3 linked regions of the Mus musculus genome follow. The protein of the gene in region 2 binds, or shares a complex with, the protein of the main gene of each other region. Links are inferred from orthologs where the notes say so. Each region holds a gene or a part of one and is shown on either strand. Other genes may lie near its edges. The genes, in order: Cnot7, Cnot9 and Cnot8.

The links.
Region 1: Cnot9 (region 2) and Cnot7 share a complex: the UniProt entries of both Homo sapiens proteins name them as parts of the CCR4-NOT complex. The link is inferred for Mus musculus from reciprocal best matches to the Homo sapiens genes CNOT9 and CNOT7.
Region 3: Cnot9 (region 2) and Cnot8 share a complex: the UniProt entries of both Homo sapiens proteins name them as parts of the CCR4-NOT complex. The link is inferred for Mus musculus from reciprocal best matches to the Homo sapiens genes CNOT9 and CNOT8.

The regions. Positions count from the first base shown.
Region 1 is NC_000074.6:40,505,165-40,508,812, reverse strand, and holds part of Cnot7 (CCR4-NOT transcription complex subunit 7), read left to right. Parts: intron 1-1,164; coding exon 1,165-1,358; intron 1,359-3,648. UniProt on the Homo sapiens protein: Has 3'-5' poly(A) exoribonuclease activity for synthetic poly(A) RNA substrate. Its function seems to be partially redundant with that of CNOT8.
Region 2 is NC_000067.6:74,526,431-74,530,078, reverse strand, and holds part of Cnot9 (CCR4-NOT transcription complex subunit 9), read right to left. Parts: intron 3,088-3,648; coding exon 2,989-3,087; intron 2,488-2,988; coding exon 2,396-2,487; intron 1,394-2,395; coding exon 1,225-1,393; 3' UTR 1-1,224. UniProt on the Homo sapiens protein: Component of the CCR4-NOT complex which is one of the major cellular mRNA deadenylases and is linked to various cellular processes including bulk mRNA degradation, miRNA-mediated repression, translational repression during translational initiation and general transcription regulation.
Region 3 is NC_000077.6:58,102,715-58,106,862, reverse strand, and holds the start of Cnot8 (CCR4-NOT transcription complex subunit 8), read right to left. Parts: upstream 2,894-4,148; 5' UTR 2,655-2,893; intron 2,635-2,654; exon of another isoform or gene 2,069-2,634; intron 1-2,068. UniProt on the Homo sapiens protein: Has 3'-5' poly(A) exoribonuclease activity for synthetic poly(A) RNA substrate. Its function seems to be partially redundant with that of CNOT7.

The sequences.
Region 1 (3,648 bases), on a different chromosome or scaffold from region 2:
ATCATTAAACAGTCTGCTCTTATAAGTGGTATTCAGTCTGCCTAGCATGTTTGTATAATTAATTTTCTGCTTTGTTACTACATTTTGTGTATTTGTTATAGCTAGTCTATTTTCTTGGGTTTTTTTGTTTGTTTTTTTTCGAGACAGGGTTTCTCTTGAGACAGGGTTTTTCTCGAGACAGTGCGCCACCACGCCCAGTGCTAGTCTATTTTCTTGATCCACACAATTATTAGCCCTAGAAGGCGATATTTCAATGTCTTGCACCTCTATCCCTGGCCCACTTCACGTCTAGCTTAATTTTTATAGAATCCAGTAATTGGCTGGTGGTTGTATTAAATTCAGCAAATTTTAATTTCTTTGCTGTCATATTGACTTACTATTTTTTTCTTCCTCTTCCTCCTCCTCCTCTTTTTTGTTAGCCTTAATTTGAATGCTCATGCTAAACTAATACATAATTTTACTATCACAATTTAAAAAGAAATGCATCTCTGTGGATAAACAGGAATTTCTTTGTATAGCATACCATTCAGTAAGGTATGCTTGTCCATAATTAGAGCTGAAACTTTCTGTCTCGGCAGGGACCGTTATTTTTATGAGCAGCAGAAATTGTTAGTGGTCATTTATATCTCAGATAATAAGGAATAGCTGCATTACAGAAAGGACAGCTTACAAGAGAGAGTGTGACTGTACACAGAAAACACCTGTGCTAACTAAAGAAATGACATTAATGAGACTTTTTCTTTATTTTGGTGTCTCACTGCTTTGATTGGAAAGCACAGGGTACTTTTTAACTTTTAAATCAATCTTTCATGCGGGTTGAGTTTAGTAATGTAATGCTATAAGTGTAGTTTCATATGCCTACTCCTTAGGAATCAGTTTATGATTTTTCTTTTCCTTGGAAATAGCCCAAATATTTGCCTGAGTTTATTATGAGTTATCAGTACAGGATAGTAATTTATGGATAAATTTCAAGAAAAAGTAATTTAAGTTTATAGAATATTGAGGTCTGATAGGTAATGCTGTTCATGCTTATAAAATAAGCATTGAGTGTGAACATACAGAATTTCATTGTCATAGAATTCTCTGACTTGTATCAAAAATTTCCTGAGAGTTTATGGGTTGTATTTATGACCATTTAGTAAACAATTATCAATTATTTTACAGGACACCGAGTTTCCAGGCGTTGTTGCAAGACCCATTGGAGAATTCAGAAGCAATGCTGACTATCAGTACCAACTGTTGCGGTGTAATGTAGACTTGTTAAAGATAATCCAGCTCGGACTGACCTTTATGAATGAACAGGGAGAATACCCTCCAGGAACGTCAACTTGGCAGTTTAACTTTAAGTTTAATTTGACGTAAGTGGGAAGTAAATATATAACCTCAGTGTCCCTGGAAATGTACTAAATACAGAAATTCAAAAGTTTAGGCTTATTATTACGAGGCAGTTGTAATTGCTTCACAGTTAGAAAGATAATAAAAACTTTCTAATTTCAAAGACTTTAGTTATAGAGATGTTATTTTTAAAATATGATGGTCATTTTTATGGAAAGTTGTGAACCTGTATTTGTGTTGCTGTTTCTGTTGTGTTTGTCATTGTTTAAGGTGCTGCAGATTAAACCTGGGGCCCTAAGCATGACCCTTAGGGTATTGATTTGACTTTTACATTTTGCTGTTGTTTTGCTTTTTTGAGACAGTGTCTCATTACATAGCCTAGGCTGGCCTGGAACTCTCTATGTAGACAATGCTGGGCTCAAACTCCCAGAGATCCATCTGCTTCTGCCTCCCAAGTGCTGGGATTAAAAGGCTTGTGCCACCACACATAGAGCTTTCACATTTGTTTTTATGCCCAACTTGGAATACATATGATTGGGGTGGCGCTTTGCTGACTAAGCAAGCGGGTACCACTTAGCTACAACTCCAATCTACTGTGACTTGTTAAGATAGTTATTATTCCTGTGAAGAAACTATTATTACAGTCATACTTTGCATTCTAAATACTCACCACGTGTACTAAGATATTTCTTGGGAAATTGGGGCTATTTTCTTTTCAAATTCATTTTCTCTAAAGGGCTATTCCAATGCAATCCTCAACCTCTTAATCTACATACAGAAAATGTAATAGTATTGAAGCTTGCATATTTACCAAAACCTGATGTCTACCTCAAATCTTGGGTATAAACTATTTCTTTAGTTAAAATAGTTCTACATTAATTATTACAATCTTCATAGCTGAGGGAACTGCATGAAGGTGAGTCCATCCTTTTGACACAGCATCATTGGCAAAGTTTATGCTCAAGAACCATGCATTTGGATTTTTAAAATTTATATATACACACACACACACAATGTTTTAAGTAAGTTTGCCACATTTATAACCATTGTGGAGTTCATATGACTTCTGAGCTTCAGGATATAAGCGCCTAGTATGAGGCAGGGGCATATTACTGCTGTTCAGGTATGGAAATAAAATATATAGTATATTCTGTACTATGTTACAATATTGTGGTGCCCTTCTGCTTGGTAGCCTATATTTGTATAATATGATCAAACATCTGGTTTGAAAAATAGCAACAGAAAATGATAAGAAAATCAGTGCTAGTGTAAGAATTCTTACATGAGAATGAGAATTCTTTCTTCATTCCTATTTTTTGTTGAATATGTACAGTTTTATGTTAGACCTAATGAATAGCAGGACTGATGGTTTTAGAAGGCAGTAGTGTAAGCGATGCAGTTGTGTATCTTGAAAAATGTGTTGTTACTCCTCTAAATAATCCTGATAGTATTTTAACATCTAGTACTGTCCTGACAGTCCCTATAGACCCTAGAAAGGCTAACGTGCTCATCCCCACTGTCATTTCATAGTGCTTCATGAGTACTACAGCTTTGGAACAGGTGAAAATGTCCTCCCATGCTCTCCTCAAATGATTACTGTGTTCTTTAGTTTTTTCCTATTTTAACTTCTTCAGGGTTCTTTTTACCCCTCAAATTAATCATCATAGCATTGGGTGTTGTTTGGTTTTTTTGTTTTTGTTTTGTTTTTTTATATAAGATACTCAGTTTGTGACTGGGAGCTAATATCTCAGGGTATTAGTTGGTAAAGCTGGTAGTCTTCATTGCAAGGATGGTAATTTTTGTAGCAGTGGCTTTTCCATTATTCTCCAGGAACATTTGTTTTTTTCTTACTCAGACAAAACTAGTTTTACCGCCAATTTTGCTACTATTTCTACTAATGGTAACATCATAGGATGGTAAAGAAAAGAGTGCATTGGCTGGTGAGGTGGCTCAGTGCTTAAGTGCCTGCCATCATGGTGGATGATCTTAAGTATGATGCTCAGGACTCACATGGTGGGAGAGAACTGAATATGTGTCATATGATGGACATGTGCAGGCGCGCGCGCGCACACACACAATGAAAATTTTAGGCTAAAATTTTTAAGAACATAGTGAAAAATGTTAATGAGAACAAAAGCCTTTGAGAAGATAAAAGTAGTACTGCATAATGTGGGAAGCATCATAATAGCATCTTAGACGTGTTGAAGGATGGTGGAAATTGACCTTGTTGAATGCCTAGAAGGAGCGTGTTAGTGCACTAGGCTCTGCAGCACAGTGTTGGTGAACATTGTCCAACATCATAATAGCCTAGTG
Region 2 (3,648 bases):
CGCAGTTTACAGTAACAGGTTGAGAGTCAAGCCCATGGGGATGGAAGGGGGGCCCTGACACTATCAACAAGTAAAAAAACATTTCAGTGGCAACCCTGTAGTTTCCATAGACCTAAGAAAGTGTGTTAAAAAGGAGAGGAGACTGAGCCAGCAGAGTCCAGCTATTCATTTTAAATCTGAAGAAACTCATTCAGCTGCTTCTACAATCATGAGGAGATGGCACTATGAAAACTCACGCTAGAGAACGGGGTCAAGTAGTCTACCATTTGGATCCAGGCGCTTACTCCGTTTGAGAAGACACCTGGAAATTATCTTCGAAGACCTGAATTTGAAGAACTGCGATCCCTCCTGCCCCAATACAATTCTCTTTTAGGGAAGGTTGAGTAAATTAAGACACCTGCTTTAAGTCTAAGTGGTAAAAAAGGGGAAAGCGCTGAGATGTGGGTAGGCTAGCAGCTGAAGCCAGAACAAGGTGAGTGTCCTCACAGCAGCCAGGTATGGGAGGGAAAGAACAGGAGCAGAGAGCAGGCACAGAGTTCCTGCTTGGCCTTTGGCTTTCCTATTCCCTTGCCTCCCATTCCACCCAACAGCCTGATGCAGCTATCGGTCTGTCAGAGGGGATGCAATGCCCAGACCAACTTTTTATTGAGCTTATGCAGCTAACAGACTTGTAAACAGTGCCAACTGACAAAGTTTTGCTGAGAACTACAGCTTGTGTCCATTAAACACATCTCTCTCTTTTGAGATTAAAAACAAAAATCCAAAGTAAACAAATACTGTAAGAGAGAATTAAGAGACACACCTTAAGTTGTCCAGGAAGGCAAAGTTTAAAAAAAAAAAAAAAAAGCCACATGGCTTGGTCCCCGGTGCTCTCATGCCTAGAGTGTTGCTGCCATTACCACGTTCTCTCCTCTCTCTACCAGTGGCTAGGTAGAGGTTCAGGAGCAGGGTCATCTTGGGCATGCTGCAAACACAGCATTTGCTGGTGTTGACACCCGCCTGGGGTTGTGGTAGCAGACTGCTGTCAGGAGCCCAATTCCTGGGAGCAGTAGGGGGATCCAGGACCTCCAGTCAGCCCACACACCTCAGCGGGTACCTTGCCCCTTTTCTCCAGTACAGTTCAGCACTGAGGTTGTCTATTCCCAGCAATAAAACCTGAGCTGTTTTCCTCATAGGTTCCACCCTCACTCCCCAGCAAAGGGGAGCAGTGAGAGGGAACGAGGATCACTGAGGGGGCAGGGGAATCCCCCGGGGATCGGTGACCTGGCCCTCTTGCAGGTTCTTCACCAGTTGTGCAAGCCAGCGTTTCGTGGTGGTGTCGTCTTTTAGCACCTGGGCAAAGGTTGTGTCCTTCAGCTGGTCAGGGAGGCACTGTCTGAGTGCTTCACGTGCCCTACATCAGAAAGACAACACATAAGCCCATATTTGGGAGCTGGGAAGACCCCCTTTCTTAGATATAAATATACAATTTCCTAGGAATCCATGGCTATCAAGTTACACCATGAAACTATTAGAATCTTTAAAGCAGGTGTTATGTAGCCCACAAATATTTTTACCACACCTCAATGCAGAACTTCATGCAAAAGCAAAATGGAATAATATGATGCAATATTTCACTCCAAACTGTTCTGATTTAATGATAAATACTGTCAAAATACCATTAGACATAGCTTATGAGAAATGAAATTATTTTCCATACAGAGCTGTTCTGAACAGTTACAGCTCTTATACTTAAACAGGTGTAATTTCTAATAAGTATATTCCAAACTTGGGAGGTACTGAAAAACAGGACAAATGATCAAAGAATAGCTAGGGCTCAAATAACCCCACTGGCTAGAGACAAGCCACTTGATTCTCAGGAACTCAGAAAGCACTCCATTATGTGGCTTAGCAGAATCTGAACATGTAGCTTTCATCATAAATTATGGATTAGTAGGAGAGAAGGTCAAACATTTCTGAAGTGCATTACATCTACAAAGTGCAAGATTCTGGCAGAGTCCTTGAACCCACCAAGAAAAAGTACTAAGTTCAACAGCTTACAGGAAGCAGAGAACTGCAAGCTAAAAAAGCCTCTAGGCTACAGGACTTTGCAAGAGACCTTTAAAGTACTCTGATTACCTGGAGTAGCCACAGAAAGCCCACACCACACCAGCCTCCCTTGAAACTGCTTGGGCTTTCGGGAATTTCAGGGTAGGACAGAGTTACAACAGGAGGAAGGTCTAACTAGTGCATTTTAAAGTCAGAATTTTAAATTTTAACCGGAACTTAAGTTTGTCTTAGACAAACTAAAGTTATATGCGTTCCAATTCTCAAGACAGAAGATCTGAGCTATAACACTGGAATCCATTCATGATACTATTTCGACAAAATCTTCTAAGTCCTATTAAATCTTTACCTGGGATTATCTGAGAGTCGAAGGTAACATCTTACTACGTGCTTCAGCAGACGGGCTGACGGTTCTTTGGATAGCTGCAGGACCATTTTACCCTGTTTTACCCAAAACAAAGGTAGGGGGGGAAAAGTCACAAAGTAATTCGAAATGACACCAGAGACCAGATCATCTAAGAATCATTATAAAGTTTCCGTTACCCCCCCCCCCCCCATTTGAGAAAGGGTCTCTATATTTCCTGTAGTCTTGGCTAGCCAAGCACTTGCTATATAGATCAGGCTGGACTCAACCTCAAAGAGATCTGCCTGCCTCTGCTACCACAGCTCTGGGATTAAAGACACACACTACCATTCCAGCTAGTATTTTTGGGCTAGGACACTACTTCTTCATTTGGCTGGTGAGAAACCCATGCTGCTGCTCCAAGCCCACAGGCATCCTCTTGCATCCCTCTGCCTTATAGATACTAGGATGACAGGCATATACCATCGTACCTGGCCAAGTGTTATTTCTAGTTAGAAGACAAAGTTTTGGGTCAGTAACGAAGGGACTAAGTTTTGTGATGGAAGTAAACTGCAAAGAGAGTAAAGGAAAGAACTCACCAAGATCATGGCAACATGGGAAAAACGCTCATATGTCTGACATATATAAGCTAAACCAGTGTCATCCAAGAGGATCTTCTGGAGTATGAATGTGGCAACCTGGAGCAAAACAAAGATGAATGATGCCTAAAGAGCTGCTCAGACTTATCATTTAAGTGACTACTGTCCACACATCTAGGCATGATCAGCACTCAAAGCATAACATAAGCGGAGTACCCTGCACATTTTACATAACTTTATCAAGCATCACACAATCAGAACAAATGTTATTGTACTGAACAAGTACTATGTCAGGATTTTTTTTCTTTCTTTCTTTTTTTTTTTTGTTTTTTTGAGACAGGGTTTCTCTGTGTAGCCCTGGCTGTCCTGGAACTCACTTTGTAGACAAGGCTGGCCTCCTGCCTCTGCTTCCCGAGTGCTGGGATTAAAGGCGTGCGTCACCACGCCTGGCATCAGAATTTTTTTCTAAAGGCTATTTATAGGCTTCACTTTTCCTATTGAGTCCACAAAGTACCTACCATTATTCTCATTTTATATAAAGGGGAAAGCCCTAGATAATTACCAGGAGAATTGCATAAAACTTGAGTCCAGCCTTGGCTACACAGTGAATACCAAACCAGCTTGGAACACAGCTCAACCCTTTCCCTCCCCACCCCAAGC
Region 3 (4,148 bases), on a different chromosome or scaffold from region 2:
AAGGAAGGAAGGAAGGAAGGAAAGAAAGGAAAGAAAGGAAAGAAAGGAAAGAAAGGAAAGAAAGGAAAGAAAGGAAAGAAAGGAAAGAAAAAGGAAAGGAAGGAAGGAAGGAAGGAAGGAAAGAAAGAAAGAAAGAAAGAAAGAAAGAAAGAAAGAAAGAAAGAAAGAAAGAAAGAAAGAAGGAAGAAAGAAAGGAAGGAAGAAAGAAAAAAAGAAAGGAAGAAAGAGCGAGCCATCAAGCGAGCCGGGAGGTGGTGGCACACGCCTTTAATCCCAGCACTCAGGAGGCAGAGGCGGGCAGATTTCTGAGTTCAAGGCCAGCCTGGTCTACAGAGTGAGTTCCAGGACAGCCAGGGCCATTCAGAGAAACCCTGTCTCAAAAACAAACAAAAAACAAAAAAAAAAGAAGAAGAAGAAGAAAGATTGTTCCAGATCAGCCTCGGCTTTGGACTCTATCATCAGGCAGATCCACAAGGAATCCTTCCCAGGCATATGAGAGAGACCATATAATGCACATTTAACTGAGCAAAGGAACTTCCTGGGCATGCTGGCCACAGGGAAGAGAGAACACAGCAATTCAACACAGACTAACGCCCTCCCTCCACTTTCCACCCAAGAAGCTCAGGCTCCAAGATACCTTCTCTTCATCACCCTCTCGTTCCCATACCTCAGAATTCTGTTTTCAAGTACAGTTATTTGTGTAACAACAGCCCCTGGGGTAACCTCATTACTGAGGTTTCAACCAGAAGAACAATAATGAATTTCACAACTCAAAGAAAAAACTGACATCCTGACTTATATATACTGAGAAGTAAGATAGCAGTCCCACACTCGGGAGGCTGAGAAAGGAGAATCCCCAGGAACTTGAGGCCAGTCTGGGCTACAATCAGAGAAGACCCTGCTTTTATTTCATTGTTCCATTTTGTCCTTTGAGACAGGGTTGGAGAGATGGCTCAGTGATTAAGACTGTTCTTCCAGGCGACCTGGGTTCAAATCCCAGTACACACATGGCAGCTCACAACTGTCTTTTTTTTTTTTTTTCCTTTTTTTCTTTTTTTTTTTCTGAGACAGGGTTTCTCTGTGTAGCCCTGGCTGTCCTGGAACTCACTCTGTAGACCAGGCTGGCCTCGAACTCAGAAACCCGCCTGCCTCTGCCTCCTGAGTGCTGGGATTAAAGGTGTGCGCCCTTGAGACAGGTTTTTCTATGTAGCCCAGGCTGTGCACACCAAACTGGCCTTGGACTCAGAGATCTAACTGCTTCAACCTCCAAGTGCTGGGATTAGAGGCGTGCAGCACCATCGCCAGCTGAGACCCTGTTTTTAGAAGGAAAGAAAGCAAACTAAACTGACCAGGGAGGCAGCTTGGAGGTATGCAACCAGTACTTGCTGCCAAGCTGAGAACAACTTAAGTTTTGAGCCCCAGACTCACTTGATAGAAGAAAAGAACATAAACCCCAAATATGACTTCCACATGGACAACTTGGCACTTGTGTACACACAATAAATAATAACAATAACAATAATAATAGCTTAAAGAAGAATGGGGCTGGAGTGATGGCTTAGCAGTTGAGAGCACTTGCTGCTCTTCCAGAAGACCAGAGTTTGGTTTCCAGCACCCATGTGAATTGGCTCACAAATGCCTGTAACTCCAGCCCCTGAGAATGTTGACGCCTTTTCGGCCTATTTTTTCCACCAACACACTCGTGATATTAATTATAAATTCATACATTAATAAACATTAAACCCTAAAAAAATTATCCTTCAAAATTCTTCAGGAAGGTTCGGAGGTTGAGGCTGCGTTCTCCCTTAAAGATTTATTTTTATGAGTGTGAGGGGGAGAGGGTTGAGTGTATCAACAGCTGTGCGATCTCTCCCTTAAAGGAAAATTTTGATCCCATGCAATGTTTGCCTCACAGGCTGGCTTTAAAACTCGATCCCCAAACCAAGCTACATTTGAAACTACAAAGGGAAAGAAAGGGGTTCTCACACACACACACACACACACACACACACTGCCCTGTGTTCTCACACACACAGACACAAAAACACTGACACACACACACACACACCCTAGGCTGCCAAGCAATCTGTTGTGACCGCTCCTGATTATCCAAACTTGGGAGCAGGGTGTCTGTGCACCCAGGTGGGCTCTGAAGAGCGAGGAGTGCGAACGCACGAAACCACGCTCTCCCTGCTAGCCGTGCAGAACTCAGTTCCACTGAGTGTCTCCTGCTCGTCGTCGGCTTTTGTTTGCGCCAGAGCGTCTGGGAGACAATCAGCTTCACTTCCCTGTTCCAGAAGACTAAACAAAAGGCTTTAGCAGTGCAAGACGGGCGCAGGAGGAAGCAGCGGCCCGTTAGAAGAAATGGCAACAGGTCCCCTCTGGAGCGTTCCAGGCCACAGCCCTGGACTTAGACGGCACCCCATCCAGCTTGCTGGCTCCGCGACGGCGGCCCTGCCACGCAAAGCTGCAGCACCCCAAGAGCCAAGCAGAGCGGCCTCTTGCCTCCCCCACCATTCCTTAGGCCTCCAGGCTGGACTCCGGGGACCGAGAGCCCCGTAGCCTCTGTGCCTCAGTGTTCCCGTGTGTAGGATGGGTCGCCACGGAGGCACTTCCGCCTCCTGCTCCTACCGTAAGCAACCTAACCTGCTTACCCTGGCTGGCGGCCCCGCCGAGTGCGGGCGGCAGCGGCCCTTGACCCCGAGCTCTCCTCCCTCTTGCCCCGGATCCGCTCCAGAAACCCAGCTCGACAGGGAGACGTGAGTCCTGGCGCCCAGAGCGGCCGACGATGGGCACCAAACCAAGAGGTTGCACCACTCTACCCGTCCGCCCTCCCGACTCGCCTACTCTCCGCGTCACTCCAGGCGTGCGCGGTCCCGCCGGTCTCGGCTCCGTCCCCCCGTGCGCGCTCAGATACCTACGCCCCGCCTCCCTGCGCAGGCGCAGAGCGAGAAAGTTGGGTTTGGCGGAGGGCGCGTGCGTAAAACGAGGTTTGCCCTGAGGCCTCAAACGGCGTCTAGCAGTGTAAACTTGGTCCCCGCCTAGGTTCTGGAGTATCATGAGTCGCGCCTCGGGAAAGGACGGGATCTAGAACTGGCCCCACTTCCTAACATCAGAGCATATTACGACTGTTGGTTGTAGGTGATGATGCAGGGCACATGGGGTGTCCTGACCCTCGATTACTGCAACCTGAACCCCTCATTCACTGACCATCTATTCACAGAACCCCTTCTGGATGACCATTAGGTAGGGGTGGGAGAGCGCCACCAAACCGAGTCATGAATGAGGTCAGCTGAGCACTGCCTCCCAGAACCTGGACGGCCTAAGCAGCGCTGCTCCGGGGCCTGTGCTGTCCGCTGTGTCCCTGGTATCACTGTGGGTCAGTGCAGAGAGAGAGGGGCCAGTCAGGGAGAGTAGGGGGTTCGCTGGTAGCGAGGCCATGCTGGGATGTATCGCCACCTCGTGCTTTCCCACGGGGCAAGAAGACTAAGACCTCCGAAGAGCGCCTCCCCTCCCCTGGTGCTTCCTCTCCTAGGGGCCGTAGGTAAGCATACAGCAGGTGTCCCCCTTCTGACATCCCGTCTCCCAGTCACTTTGCCCTTTTCATTTTAAACTTTTATTCCAGAAGAAATCCCCAAAATAGGACTTACTGACTAAATGAGAGCTAGCCTTTCAAACTGTGAAATCGCACAGCCAGCTTCTGGGGTAACGATGTCAGGGACAGTTTCTGAAGCCCAGCCTTTGTTGTTTCTCTCCAGGATCTGTAAATAGAGACACAAGACTGTGATGAGGATGAAACCCTAGACCAAGCCACAACCGTCACCACAAAGAACCAGGCCTGGGCAGTCAGTAACTGTAGCTGCGGTGGATTCCCTGCAACAATGTTGATGGGACTAGCTGCAGGGCTGGCCTCTTTTGAGGTGTTCGGGTTGTCTAGGCTAGGTAGACACTGCCTTCCCTCAGTCTGTTCAGTGCATGTCCTTGCTCTGTTCTGTGATTCGATTCAGGAGAGGGTGGACCTAGCATGTGCTAGTCATGTGAGGAGCAGCCGTTGAGTCCTTCAGGAGAGGGTGGACCTAGCATGTGCTAGTCATGTGAGAAGCATGGAATTTGGGGGGAGGGGGGGTTCTTGCCACCAATAGGCCTGG